Linked DNA regions of Caenorhabditis elegans. The protein of the gene in region 1 purifies or fractionates together with the protein of each later gene. This does not show direct contact. Each region holds a gene or a part of one and is shown on either strand. Other genes may lie near its edges.

The links. The genes of interacting proteins can lie anywhere in the genome.
Region 2: the proteins of C06E1.1 (region 1) and T18D3.6 fractionate together in Caenorhabditis elegans (co-fractionation; one large-scale study listed by BioGRID). This does not show direct contact.

Annotation. Positions count from the first base shown.
Region 1 is NC_003281.10:8,602,566-8,608,491, reverse strand, and holds C06E1.1 (HVA22/TB2/DP1 family protein), read right to left. Parts: upstream 2,661-5,926; 5' UTR 2,649-2,660; coding exon 2,523-2,648; intron 2,479-2,522; coding exon 2,368-2,478; intron 2,315-2,367; coding exon 2,066-2,314; 3' UTR 1,894-2,065; downstream 1-1,893. Other genes in the region: C06E1.9 (ASCC2 family CUE domain-containing protein), read left to right, coding at 444-566, 616-847, 905-1,144, 1,192-1,571, 1,647-1,893.
Region 2 is NC_003284.9:12,446,809-12,453,823, forward strand, and holds T18D3.6 (uncharacterized protein), read left to right. Parts: upstream 1-3,083; 5' UTR 3,084-3,108; coding exon 3,109-3,849; intron 3,850-3,934; coding exon 3,935-3,998; intron 3,999-4,051; coding exon 4,052-4,119; 3' UTR 4,120-4,547; coding exon of another isoform or gene 4,548-4,625; 3' UTR 4,626-4,635; downstream 4,636-7,015. Other genes in the region: T18D3.9 (Mitochondrial inner membrane protein Mpv17), read right to left, coding at 4,548-4,625, 4,764-4,832, 6,313-6,441, 6,495-6,587, 6,630-6,736.

The DNA.
Region 1 (5,926 bases):
GTGTTGAAAAAGATGGAAATTGAACTAGAAACCATAAAATTTAGATGAACATTTTGTCAAAACATGGAAAAAATTTTTTGAAAGCGAAAAAAGGTTTAGCTAAAAAAAAGAAGAAAACGAAAAAAAAAACAAAAAAAGTTTTAATTTGAAACTGTATTTTCAAAACTTGAATATTTCCACCAAAATTTTTTTGTCACTTATATTTTCGAGAGTGATTTTTTGGAATAATTGTAAAACTTAAACATTCATGAATTCTTCAGTATATCAGAATTTTTCGTTTTTTCTTCTTTTTCGTTCACTTTTTTTTCGAAAAAGCAAAAAAAAAAAATATTTTTTCGCTAAAAATATGAAAAAACGAAAAGGGCGAAAAGCGAGAAATCTAAAACACTGATGTTAGGTAAACCTATTTCAGAGTTGCCTTTTATATAAGTGTAAATTTTCAGAAAAGTCTTCTTGGCACGTCGGTTCGCATTGCAATCAATTTTAGAAGTTTTCATTGAAATGGCTCCGAACACAAAGTACAAGGTTAGAGAAAGAGTTCGACAGGAATTGGAAAAAGCATCTAGGTAACTTTTAATTTTCTACTTGAAAAAACGAATTTTTGAAAAATTTCAGATTTGTCGGCTACGCTTCTGAAATGGGACATGACAATCTTTTAAGTTCGTTTTCACCGAAAATTGTCTCTTCAATTGAAGATTCGAAACATATACTTGAAGTAGAAACAATTGAGCGACTTCGTAGATGTGGTTACTTGGAAAATCTTGGAGCTCCTCTTGATGAACTTGTCAGAGCCCAGATAGCATCGATTCGCGAGATTTTACCACATTTCTCTGCTGAATTCGTACATGTACGTTAATTGGAATATGGATCTACAACATTTTTTTTTCAAATTTTAATTTTACAGCTCGCACTTCGTCATTTCTCTTACGATTCTGAAGTCACACTGGCAAGCTTGCTGTCTCGTGAAAATCTTCCACTGGAACTTCTGCGTTTGGAAAATGTTGAGTTGAGAGCTGGTATAGGATCAGGAGAATGGCCACCGTTGGATTTCACTGCATCGGATGAAATTGAGAAGTTGGCGAGGGCAGACAAACGGGCAAAAGATGAGGAGACAAGAAAGAATAATGAAACGAAATCTGCATCGGTCAGTTATTTCTTGATCCATCATTTTTATAATATTTATATTTATAGAACCTCTTCTCTCTCGCCCCAATCCTCTCGGATCGGCCACCATCTCCACCAGTCGATCAGCAAGCTGAACTTCGAGCACATGCCGAAGCCTATCGGACTTCAGTTCTTACGAAGCTTCAGAAAATCCGAGCAGATGCTGCTGGACCCTCATCGCCTTCTGAAAAAATTGCTGTTGATGCTGAGAATCTTGTTCCTCTTGCGACTTCGAAAAAGTATTCGGCATTGAACTCCTTAAAAATCAGTGAAGCAGATAAAGTGGCAATTCGGCCAACATATAATAAGTATCGTTACGAGACCCCGAATGATGGAGGAAATGGAGTTTATGATGATGAATACGATGATGAGTTTGATGGAAGAGAATTCAATATTGAAAGATTAAAGTTAGTTTTTGGTCAGATTTAAATTCATATTGCACTGCAACTTTTAAATTAAAATCATGAGAATATTAATTTCAGCCAAGAACTAGAAACATCGTCAGAAGAGGATGAAGCTGGATCTTCTGCACCACCTGGTTTATCTCAACCACCTCCATATCAAGGATCCCGTGGTGGACGTGGAGGTCGTGGAGCCCGAGGTGGCAATCGTGGTGGAGCCCCATCTGCAGATGGATATACTGGAGGACATGATCGTCAAATGAAAGAGAAACACAAGTCGGATATCAAGCAACGTGGAGCTGATAGAAAGAAACGAGGAGTTTATTGAGAATTCGATTTACAAACCAATGATTTCTTTACACTTGTGATAGCAATACAATTCGGTGTAAATTTGGCTGGGTGATAAATAAATTATATCAGTTTAAAAAAAAACATGTTCAAAAAAAAATCCCGTGCGTGTCAAAGTGTCAGTTCCGTAAATTTCCATAAATTCAGAGAGCTCAGTTTTCCTCCTCTCCAGGCGGCGGTGGAGTCACCAGAACCCATGTTTCGGTGAATTTCAGAGCTGGCTCAGACCATTCCTTGAGTTTATCGAAGCCATTTGTGGTGATCGAGAGGAAGAGCCCGGTTTTAGCGAAGTAATAGAATGGGACTCCAGGAAGAGCAGAATAGTCAAAAAGTGAAACCATTGCATAGAGAATCCAATAGAGGAGAATGTTGTCTGATGGATTCTTCTGTTGGCGGAGGATCTGTAAGAGTGTTCAGTTGATTTCTAATGAAAATGAAGATAGTTGAAATTTACCATGAAGCTCTCTTTGACTGGCCAGAAGATGCAAATGATATGAGAGAAGAGTGGGAGGAAGTTGCCGAGAAGAACGTAGATGGAAAGCATCAGGAATGCCATTGAGACGATCTGAAAACAAATATTGTTTTTAATTAAGACATTATATAACCTACTCTTTCTCTTGGAATTCCAGAAAACTTTTCAGCTTGAGTGAAAGTCTTTTCTTTCCAGTCTTCCTTGTTTCTTGCTTTCAAATACTCGTTGATTTTTGACTCGATTTTTGCAATAATTGTCGCCATTTTTGAATATCTGGAAATTATGTAATGTGGGAAGTCGCGCTCTACCGAACTATTCAACATTTTCGAAGATTACATAATAAGAAAAGACTGATCAAATATCAAGAAGGAAGTTAAAAAGAGAGGAAACGATGAAATGTGAAAATATTAAAGTCACATAAAGCGAGGCGAAAAACAAAACGAACGATAAAATAATAAAAAGGGATGGAAAAGTGAGGAACAAAAGACGGCAAAGATGAGAATCAATTGCAAATCGTGGCTTTTTATAAAATTATGCATGCAATAATGATTAGTCGGTGAGAAATTGCGAAACTATTTAAAAACCGATTACTTTTTTTCTTCAAAAAAGTCATGGTCAGTTTTCGTTATTTTGATGGAAAGTTTGCTGGGTGGTAGGACAGCAAAGACTCTCGTTTTCTATTTGTTTTAGATATCGTATGAGTCATACAATTAGTTTTCGATAAGTTGAGATTTTATCATAAAGCCGATAAGCTTTAATGGAAACTTTCAAAAATTAAACTTATTTTCCAAATGTAAATGTATAAATGTTTCCAGAAATATATCGGTTCTAGCTCGCAAAGACGAACAACAAAACAAAGAAATGAGCATATTTCTGCCATTTGCAACATACAAGAGAGGAGCAGATGGAACGTTTTCACCTGAGCACTGCACTCTCTTAATCTACAGTACTATCTCACTCAATTATATAGAGCAAATGATGCACAGACGGATTATAGAGGGACCGTATCGATTGGTATCGATACGAACGAAGAGAGAGACCGCTTGTCTACGTCACTGCCTACCAAATAGCTCCGGCATAGGTCTGTCTTTGTACCTACTTGGAATGCCTGAAAGATGTGCAAAAAAGAGAAGAACACTGGAATATTCCAGTTCTGACAAAACATTATATTAAAAAGAAGACATGTTTTTCAAAATATGTTACTCAAAAAAGTTTCATAAAAACTATGTAGTGAACTGAAATAAACGCTTCCAGAGTTTGTTTGTTGCATTCTTGTCGATGCACCATGTTTCTCTCAACTTTGACAACTGATATATTGACCATCTTTATTAAAAAAAAAAAGTTTTCTCAAAAATTGTCAACTATCAAACTATTTCAAACGATTTATGCTTTTTTCTATGAAATAGCAGTTTGAAATTTACTGAAATTTTTAAATTGAACCGGCATTTCAGTTCTATGAAATAGCAGTTTGAAATTTACTGAAATTTTTAAATTGAACCGGCATTTCAGTTGCCAAATTTATACCATTCTTTCTTGTCTATGCACCATGCTTGCACAAAACTCAAACAGCTGATATCTCGGTTGGAATTGCCTTCTCCATTAGAAATTTAACACCAAGGAAGATGGTGTCTGAATTTTTTAAATAGTTGGTTAGATTGGTGAACAGCGAAAAATTACAATATCTATAGCGAACAGAATCATTTGATAAACATACTGCAATTACAGGGGCACAAATCACAGGGGGACAATATGAATCCTGGAAATAACTCGAAAATTCGATTCTTCAATCTACAGTAATCTTTTGTAGAATTTTGAATCAAATTTCACATGTTAATTATCTACAAAGCTAATATTTCAATAAAACTATCTATAACCCCAAAATCATTCCCTTTTGCATGATCACAATTATGTGACGTATCCAATTGTGTCATCCGTTTTTTGAGATTTGGAGTTTATAGTCAAATGAATTCAGATCAAATCCCGTTTATTTGCCCGTTTTTCAAATACAATATTCTGTCAAAATCCCGACGTATTACCTCCAAACCAACATCAATATACATACGTTTTCGCTACAAAATTTCTGGTGATTTTTATGGAATTTTCCCACGAGTTTTCTCCAAATTGCTTAGTGAGCTACAGAAAAAAAACGAGAGTTCGTAAAATTGCATTCTAGTTTTGAGAAAAACATTGAAATCTTGTAGAATTTAGAGCTAAAAAAGATGGAAAACTGGCAATTACAAGTGGCTAATCATAGTCTAAGAAACTAGTACTTTCGTTGACGTCAGTGATAAGTTTTGGTATTTATTGCAGCAAATTTTCTCTTTAAAAATTAAGAAACAATCTGAAATGAGATTTTCCAAAAATGTGTCTGTATATTGAAAAAATATTAATGGTACTCATGTAGCAACCGCACCCCAAAATTGTTTCATCTGCATCATTTTCCACCATTTTAGGTTACGAATAAAATCAGAAATCCCTATCAATTAGTTTTCCAAAATAGTATGTTTTTCAATATAACACTAGAGAACATTGTGAACCACAGACAATTTAAAGATGCACACTCTTATTGGCAGTTTGAAAAAAAGAATTAGGCCATTTCAAGACAGGATACCGTATTCTTGTCTCTCAAATCGCGCTAAAAAATTATTTGAAATTGAATACAATTGTTTTGTTAATTTACTGCCAATGCTATATTTATTTATTGTTATTGTATCTTTCAAAAAATGATTTCCAAGTTTATCCTCATTTTTTTTTGCAAATTCCAATGAAATCCTTTTCCTCTGAATGAACCCTTTTCTTATTTTCAGCTACATCATATTCCCCCTAAAAATCTTATGATATGAAGATTACGGTACCCAAAGCTTATCTTTGTCTCATATCCTGCTCTGAAAAACAAATAATGCCTGTGGTCAATCTAGCTAAAAGAAACTGAAAATCCTGGATAAGCTAGCTTCGGTGAAGCTTTTCAAGGTGAACAAAAACAAAAATTTAAGCCCGGGTTGCCTACCGTATACGTTTAGAATTATTTTTATTCTGCAATGTTTGATGCTACTTTTATTGTATTTTTGATTCATTTGGAATATATTTTTGGAAGAAAAAATTACAAACAGGTAGAAAAACAATATGGAGACATTTCTACAACAATATAAAATATTTATTTTAGTAGTGCACGGTTTTAGGATTAGCTAGCCGGAATATTTAGAGGAAAAGAGGTAGTTACAATAAATAGCTATAATGAATTTATTCTACATTCTTTAAGATAAAAAACCTTACAATTAGACAGATATTGTCTTCTCGGTATTTGAATGATCGTTAAAAATGTATTGCTTACTGTGAAAAAGGCTATTCAATACAGAAAGTAAAACATTGCGTGATTTAATTATTCTGATAAAACCGGAAGTTTTTTCTAACGAAAAATCGGAACACTTGAATTTTGAAACTTATTGTTTCTAGGACGAAATGCCAAGCAACAACTGCTTGCATGATGTTGTTTAGACCAGAGCGTTAAAATTCAGAACATTTTTTTTATCTTCGGATATTG
Region 2 (7,015 bases), on another chromosome or scaffold:
CAAGACTAAATGTCCGAAGTGTTTTCTTTTTTCTGCAAAAAAAAGAACGGCGGGGAAGATGATGCAAAGTGTCGGAAGATGGGGAAATACCTATATGTACCTAACTTTCAGCGAAAAAAGTTATCATTGAAATTTGGTTTTAGAAAAAATCGTGGATAGTGTTCAAAGTTGATTTTAAATACAACAAAGAATTTGGTTTTCGTTGAAAAATCATTTGGCATTCAAATTAACGCAATACCAATATTGTTTCTCGTTTTTCAGCTTGTTCAAACAAAACACAACCTCTGAGCTCATCATGTAATACACAGAAATATTTGTGTTGCCTTTGCTGTCTCTGCTTTCCCCTTTCTCAATTTCAATCGATATCCGCATTCCGCCTTTTTTTTTCAAGCAAATCTATCCACACAGGATGGAAAATATTGCAAGATGGCTTTGAAGATGAAGACGAATGGGTGAAAATAAACAAAAGTGAGATGTTAGGACATCTCATCTTTGCCTATGTTTTAATCTAAGAAGCTTTCTTTAGTTTCTTGCCCTAGATTAATCTCATCTCTCAGCACTTTAGCACATTCCTCATTCCTTTCAGTTCAAAGTATTTCGAGCAAATAACCCCATAACAAAATTTATAACTGTGGAACAATGTGGGCGAGATCACAATTTATTGTGTTTTTCGGCTCGCAGAGCACATTCATTCTTTCTACTAATGTTCATAGCAACGGGAAGTACAAGTAGGCTAAAGGTCGATGCATGCTTTTGTTTTTTTTTCTTGGATTTTTTCTTGGAAATGAGCATGCGTGTTAATTTTCTAAGAAAACTTATCAAGAATTTTGGGCGATATTTGGTTGATATGAGGCGTTGTTCATATTTGTGGTATTATGGCTCAAAATCTAAATAATGTGTTCTAATTAGGGGTGGCAAGAGTGCGACCTAGGTCGCTAGGTCGCTGTTTTCATTTAGGTCGCATCGCGACCTAGGTCGCATTGCGACCTGCGACCTAGCGACCTGGGTCGCATTGCGACCTGCGACCTAGCGACCTAGGTCGCATTGCGACCTGCGACCTAGCGACCTGCGACCTTGCGACCTGGGTCGCATTGCGCTTTGCGACCTGAAGTACTGACATTTTTTATACTAACAAATTGCTACAAATCATTTATTTTACATTGTTTTCGATTTCTTATCCATAAGACACCTTGTCGAAAAAAGTTAGAACAGCCGACATCCGCCGGATTTGCTGCTTTTTTCTACGTTTTTAATTCGAAAAGTGGAAAATTAAATTTTAGAAACAACAAAAACCACAAAAACGTGAACTTTTTGAAACAATTTGCTGAAATGCATGGTTTTATTTGTAGAAATGAATTCTTTGTTCCGTACTTTTGAAAAAAAACTACGCATAAACTTATAAAATCTTAATAGAGAAAATGTTATTGGAATATACATATTCTGCAATCTTTAGTTTTCGAGTTATACAGTTTTCGAGTTATACGATTTTAACAACTCAAGTGAATCAAAACCGAAAGAGAACAAAATGTCGGTAATTCAGGTCGCAATGCGACCTAGGTCGCTAGGTCGCAGGTCGCTAGGTCGCAGGTCGCAATGCGACCTAGGTCGCGATGCGACCTAACCCTCTAGGTCGCAGGTCGACCTAGGTCGACCTATAGCCACCCCTAATTCTAATATATCAGGAGATGTTTAAAAATAGTTCATGACTGCCAGATAAACACACAATTTTCAAAGCAATGTATCCGTTTTGTTGTTGTCAACTTAGGTATTAGTGCATGCGTGGTTGTAATAAGCACAAAGCTGAAATATCTAATTTTAGGAAAAGCACGTAAACTTTCTTGTTTTATCATTATCAAGTTTCACTGTAAAGTTTTTTATTATTTTCAAGTTGTCTATGGTGGAGAAATAAAAAGGTTATAGTTGAAACTTTATTGTCTTATCAGTAGTCAAAAAATTTTTGAAAACCCTCACTTTTCTGAGGTGTATTTTCTATTTTTCCAGAAGTCATATCAAACATAATACAGTAGGGTTCTAGCAAACTTTAGTGAACATTCATTGTTTGAGTGGTCTTTCCAGTTGCAACAAATACTACGTATTTAGATAAATATCAAAAAATTATAAAACCTAGCTACTGTACCAGCCAAAAATTAGCTAAAATGATGATTTTATCTTTAAAAAAAATTCAAACTAGTGTTTTAACCAGCAACAGTGTAAACCTTTATAGAAGTATATGTGATTCGTCGTCAAAAATGCAAGGCAATCGTTTTTTTCAAGTTTTTTTAATGATAATGCTGAAATCTTGAAAGTTTGCTGAAATGTACTAAAAACTGAGTACTACTTTGTATTTATCTGGCTGTAACTGTTTGTGAGCTGCAATTACTTTAATACAAACCAACATTTTTATAGCGCTTTTTCAGAGCAAAATACATGGCGTAAAAAACAAGTATGTACATGTGTTTTGTTTGTAACTTTTCTTTTGTTGCTTGGTAAAGATGTCAATTTAATATTGTTATTGAATATCACAATATAATGTAGGCAATCTGCTACTTCAAACATTTGAGACAGCAAGACACGCAGGCATCTCGACAAAACGGCGCTGCTGGGCAGAACAGGCCGGCCAGTGTCGGCAGTGGAAGAGGGCGACGGCGACCGTCCGTCTTTTGGCCGCATGTTCTCCCCCATTTTTCCTCTCCCTTGCAAACACTTTTTATTCTCTTTCTACGGTTTGCAATTCTGCCAATTCTGCAGTGTTTCGGCGAAATGAATTTTCTTAGTTTAAACTGGGAAACTATTAAGCGGCAGTGTGATAGGCTTGGTTGCCACAAAAAAGTTACTCGTTTTGTTTTGCAAATTTACAAAATTTTTAACAAGTTGCTAAATTCCTTTTTTAAGTCTTTTTTAAATATACAATTCCAATGCAAAAAAATATCCCAATGCGTCACATGTTCTATATTTTCCTTCATCACTCCTCGTCTTGCATGTTTTTCAAATACAACTGTTATGTGAATACCCTTTCTGAAAGAAAATTATTATTTACGCCCAACGTTCTTTCAGTTGACTTAACATCACTCAATAGTTTCCTTTTTCAGTTACTTGGGTATACTCATAATGGAAGAACCCCACCCAGCACCAAGGAATGATCGAGATGCGGAAGGTGAAGAGGCTAGGCACGCTTTAAGGATGGAGAGACAACTTGCAATTCGTGAGGGACGTTATCTGCCTCCACTCCCACAACTTCCACCATTGATCCAGCTGATTCCTGTGCACCGCGCTCAGGCGAACGAAGCTGTCGATAGAGCCATTGAATTTCAGCTAAACCAGAGGCGGCAGTTTTTGCTGCAACACCTTCGACCTGAGCATTTTCAGCCTGGTGGATTCTTTGATCCGCAGCCAGAGGGAAACTATCATCCTTTGTCTCCACAACATAGTGACGAAGAGCTTGATGACGCGGAAGAGGAGATTGAGAGACAGCGACGAATCCGCCAAAACTGGAGAAACTACATGAACCAGAGAGTTGATCCCATTCCACAAGAGATCGTTGACCGCTTGCTCCGGGAATACGACAATTGGGCAAGAGCCGCGTTAAACAATAACAATGGAAATTTTCGAAACTACAATGCGATGCTCTCCCCATCACCATCTCCATCACCAAATGCATCACCAGCACCGTCAGACGACGAAGATCCGATGGAGCACGTGAATTCTGATGATGAAGATGTCGAGATGCTTAATGCTCAAATGATGGAAATGCGTCCCAATCAGCCGAGACCAAGAAAGCGTCATAATTCTCAAGGACCATTACCGATCAAAAGGAAAAGAGTCACTTTCAAGGAGGACTCTTCAGATGAGGTTCGGAATTTTTCGGGCTTTTGAAATTTTTTGCAAAACACCCAAAAAATTTTACAATATAATCATACAAAATTCAAAATTTCAGGCCATCAACTCATTCGATGAGGACAGCTCCGATTGCAATGACAATGTTCCAGTCAACCGTAAACGTGAGGAATAAACATAATTAATTCAGCGAGTCAGCTAATGTCAAAATGTTTAGAATATGACGACGACGACGAGGGATTTTTCGGAGGACCCCCGGCACGCCACAACTCCTTTGTTGCATAGAAGTAAATCTCAAATTAACCAACTTTTCTTCAACACACTTTTACCAATTTTTCTAACGAGAAACTACCGGTTCCCCGGTGGCACCGTACGCCATTTTCTGTGAATGTTTTTTTTCAAACCCCGTTTTTCTTTCTTTCTTTCCATTTCTGTCCGACTCATTTCCGCCACATTTCCTCGCCAATCCACTTCCCCGCACCACTTGGGATCTCGTTTCATTTTCATGACTGTTCTTCTGGAAATTTAATCACAAAGTCCAAAACTCATTTCTCATCCTGTTTTATACTCTCAATTTACTTTTTGAATTAACATTATCGTCATTAATTTTAATTGGGAATTTTGAACATAATACAATTTTATGTGAAATTACAACCTAAAACATAAATATCACAGAAAAATACATAAAGATTGGAATGTATGTGAAACTGTAACTAGTAAAATTGTTCAATATGATCGATGGGTTTCTGAGTGATGTAGGACAGATAACAATTCCAGAAGAATGCGACGACCTGAAAAATTAATTGAAAAAATAAACTGATTGATGTGTTTCGTTTCAATGGCGTGATAAACTGTCTAATAAAAATTGAACCTTTTAAACAGTTGTATTTTGGTTATGATTTATTCTTCAAACTTTGGTCAAAATGTACCTGGTTAAGTATTACTCGATAATTGAGTGGAACAAAGCACAAATTCACAACTTGAACAAATGGCCAAACCTGGAATAGTATTTTTGTACGACATAAATTTTTGAGTGCTTGGCAATAATAAAAAATGATTTGGAAGTTAGTTAGGTTTCACGCTGACGTGGCGCATGTTTTCTGTCAAAAATTCACTTTTATTGTAATTTTCATTACGTGTAAATTGCTTCTAAATCAGAAAACTTCTTAATAAAGCTTTGCTGATCGAGATAATGTTTTGAAATTATATATGTATTACTTCACAAAATAAGCAATTCTACTACAATCAACCTTATTTTTCACATAATTTTTAACAGTTAGAGGCCTTTAAATGTTTATAATACAAGTTGAAAAACAGTTTTCAGCAATATGGTGATGATGCTATTGATACTTTATTTTTATTCGAACTATTTCTCCTCAGCATCAGTTTTTGTTCGTCTTCCTCCAAATCTATGTTGATCCAATCCTCATTTTGTGAATATCAATGCATCCTCTTTTTATTGTGCACTCTTTCAATTTCGGGATAAAGCTCTGCTCTTTTGGCGAGGACGAGTCGCAAATGCGACACTCGCGCACACGACGACGAATCGCACCAGCGATTCACCACGTCGCAACGACAAAACTCGCATCGCCGATAACGAAGAGGACCGCCGGTGCGACATAGATGTCGCAATGGAAACCCGTTGGCGACTTGCGAATCGCTCCGACGACACCGCCGGCGATGTGGACTCGCAATGTTGGAGCAGTTGGATGTTGCGTGTCCGCGTCGCGACGAGCCAGCGATAGGCGACAAATGCAGGCAGCAGTGGCTCAATTGCGGCGACGACCCGCACATTTTCTCGGCTGTCTCTTTTCGTTGAGACGCCTTGCTGGGAGATGAGGCGCGAAGAGAAAGGAGTCCTCATTCTGTCATTTGGAGAGGGAAAAATGGGTGAGAGAAAAAGAAAAGGTAATAGAGATGTCCAGTGTGTGTTCCGATTAGAAGAAAGTTTCGAAATTTGAGGGAACTGGGTTGAGCGCAACGAATGTGAAATCAGAGATTAGTTGTGATAATTAAGAATGTTAAAATAGAAAAAAAATATATGTTGTGTCATTTTATGTTTTAATTTTATTAACTGATTTACCCAAAATTGAAACAAAGCATAGCGCCAGTAGATAATGTTCAAAATTGCTTTTATGGAGCTAGTTACATATTTAAGTAAAACTTTCTAAAAACTATTTCTAAAAAGTTGTATTACTATCAAAAAGTGGCATTTTCCTTGTTTACAACTATTTAAACTTCATTCGCCGACCAAATAATTTACTACAAGCTTGATATTTTTATTGTATTTTAATAATTTATGGTTGAAGATTGTATGGCTTTATACGGGCACTTTTAATTTTTTATTATTAGCTAATTCGTCAAAACTGTAACTGAGAAACTTAAGTCTAAACAATCTTTGAATTGTTCATCTAATCTTTGAATGAAGCTTTGAAAATGAATGTATTTTTTCCTAATTTTCCAAAAAAATGTATGTACCTTTAAACTTGTTGCATAAATGTTGAACCAATCTTCTTTTAGAAGATCCCACGACTTTTCCGCTGATTGGTGTTGCAATAGCCGGAGATTGAACAGTATTGCGGCGTTAAAGCAAGGACTAAAACAGAGCTGGAAAATTGTATTTTAAAGGTTGTTATTTTTATAAATTTGATGTTAATCACCTGGTCAATGCAAAGTTTTTTAACAAGAAGTAGTGATTTATTATTTCCTTTCACTTTTTCCAGCAAACGAAACCATATGAACAATGATGGCGCCTGAATAAACTATAAAAAAAATTTCTTAAAGGCAAGTTTCACCATAAAACAACTTGACAAAAATGAAAATCGGGCCGTCCTCCAACGATCCCATTCTTGGTTATGCGATAAGTATTGCGCTAAACAGTCACCAGATCCACTGATTGTTCCTGGAAAGTACTCTTCATATTTCCAAATTTATAACCAATTATCTATCCTCTTTCTTCTATCAAGCAACTTGTCTTGCCTGAACCAAACCATCACAACACGAAAGATGCGCAAATACATTGTTGGCGCGTTTTGTGTGCACAATTTAGTTTTTAAATCATAGAGTGGTCAATTTTAATTATGTAATCGGTTTTTTGCTGTCACCCTGATATAAATTTTAAATATTTGATTCAATACGTTTTCGATCAATTTTTTTTAAGTTTTGTTCATTTGTTTATTAA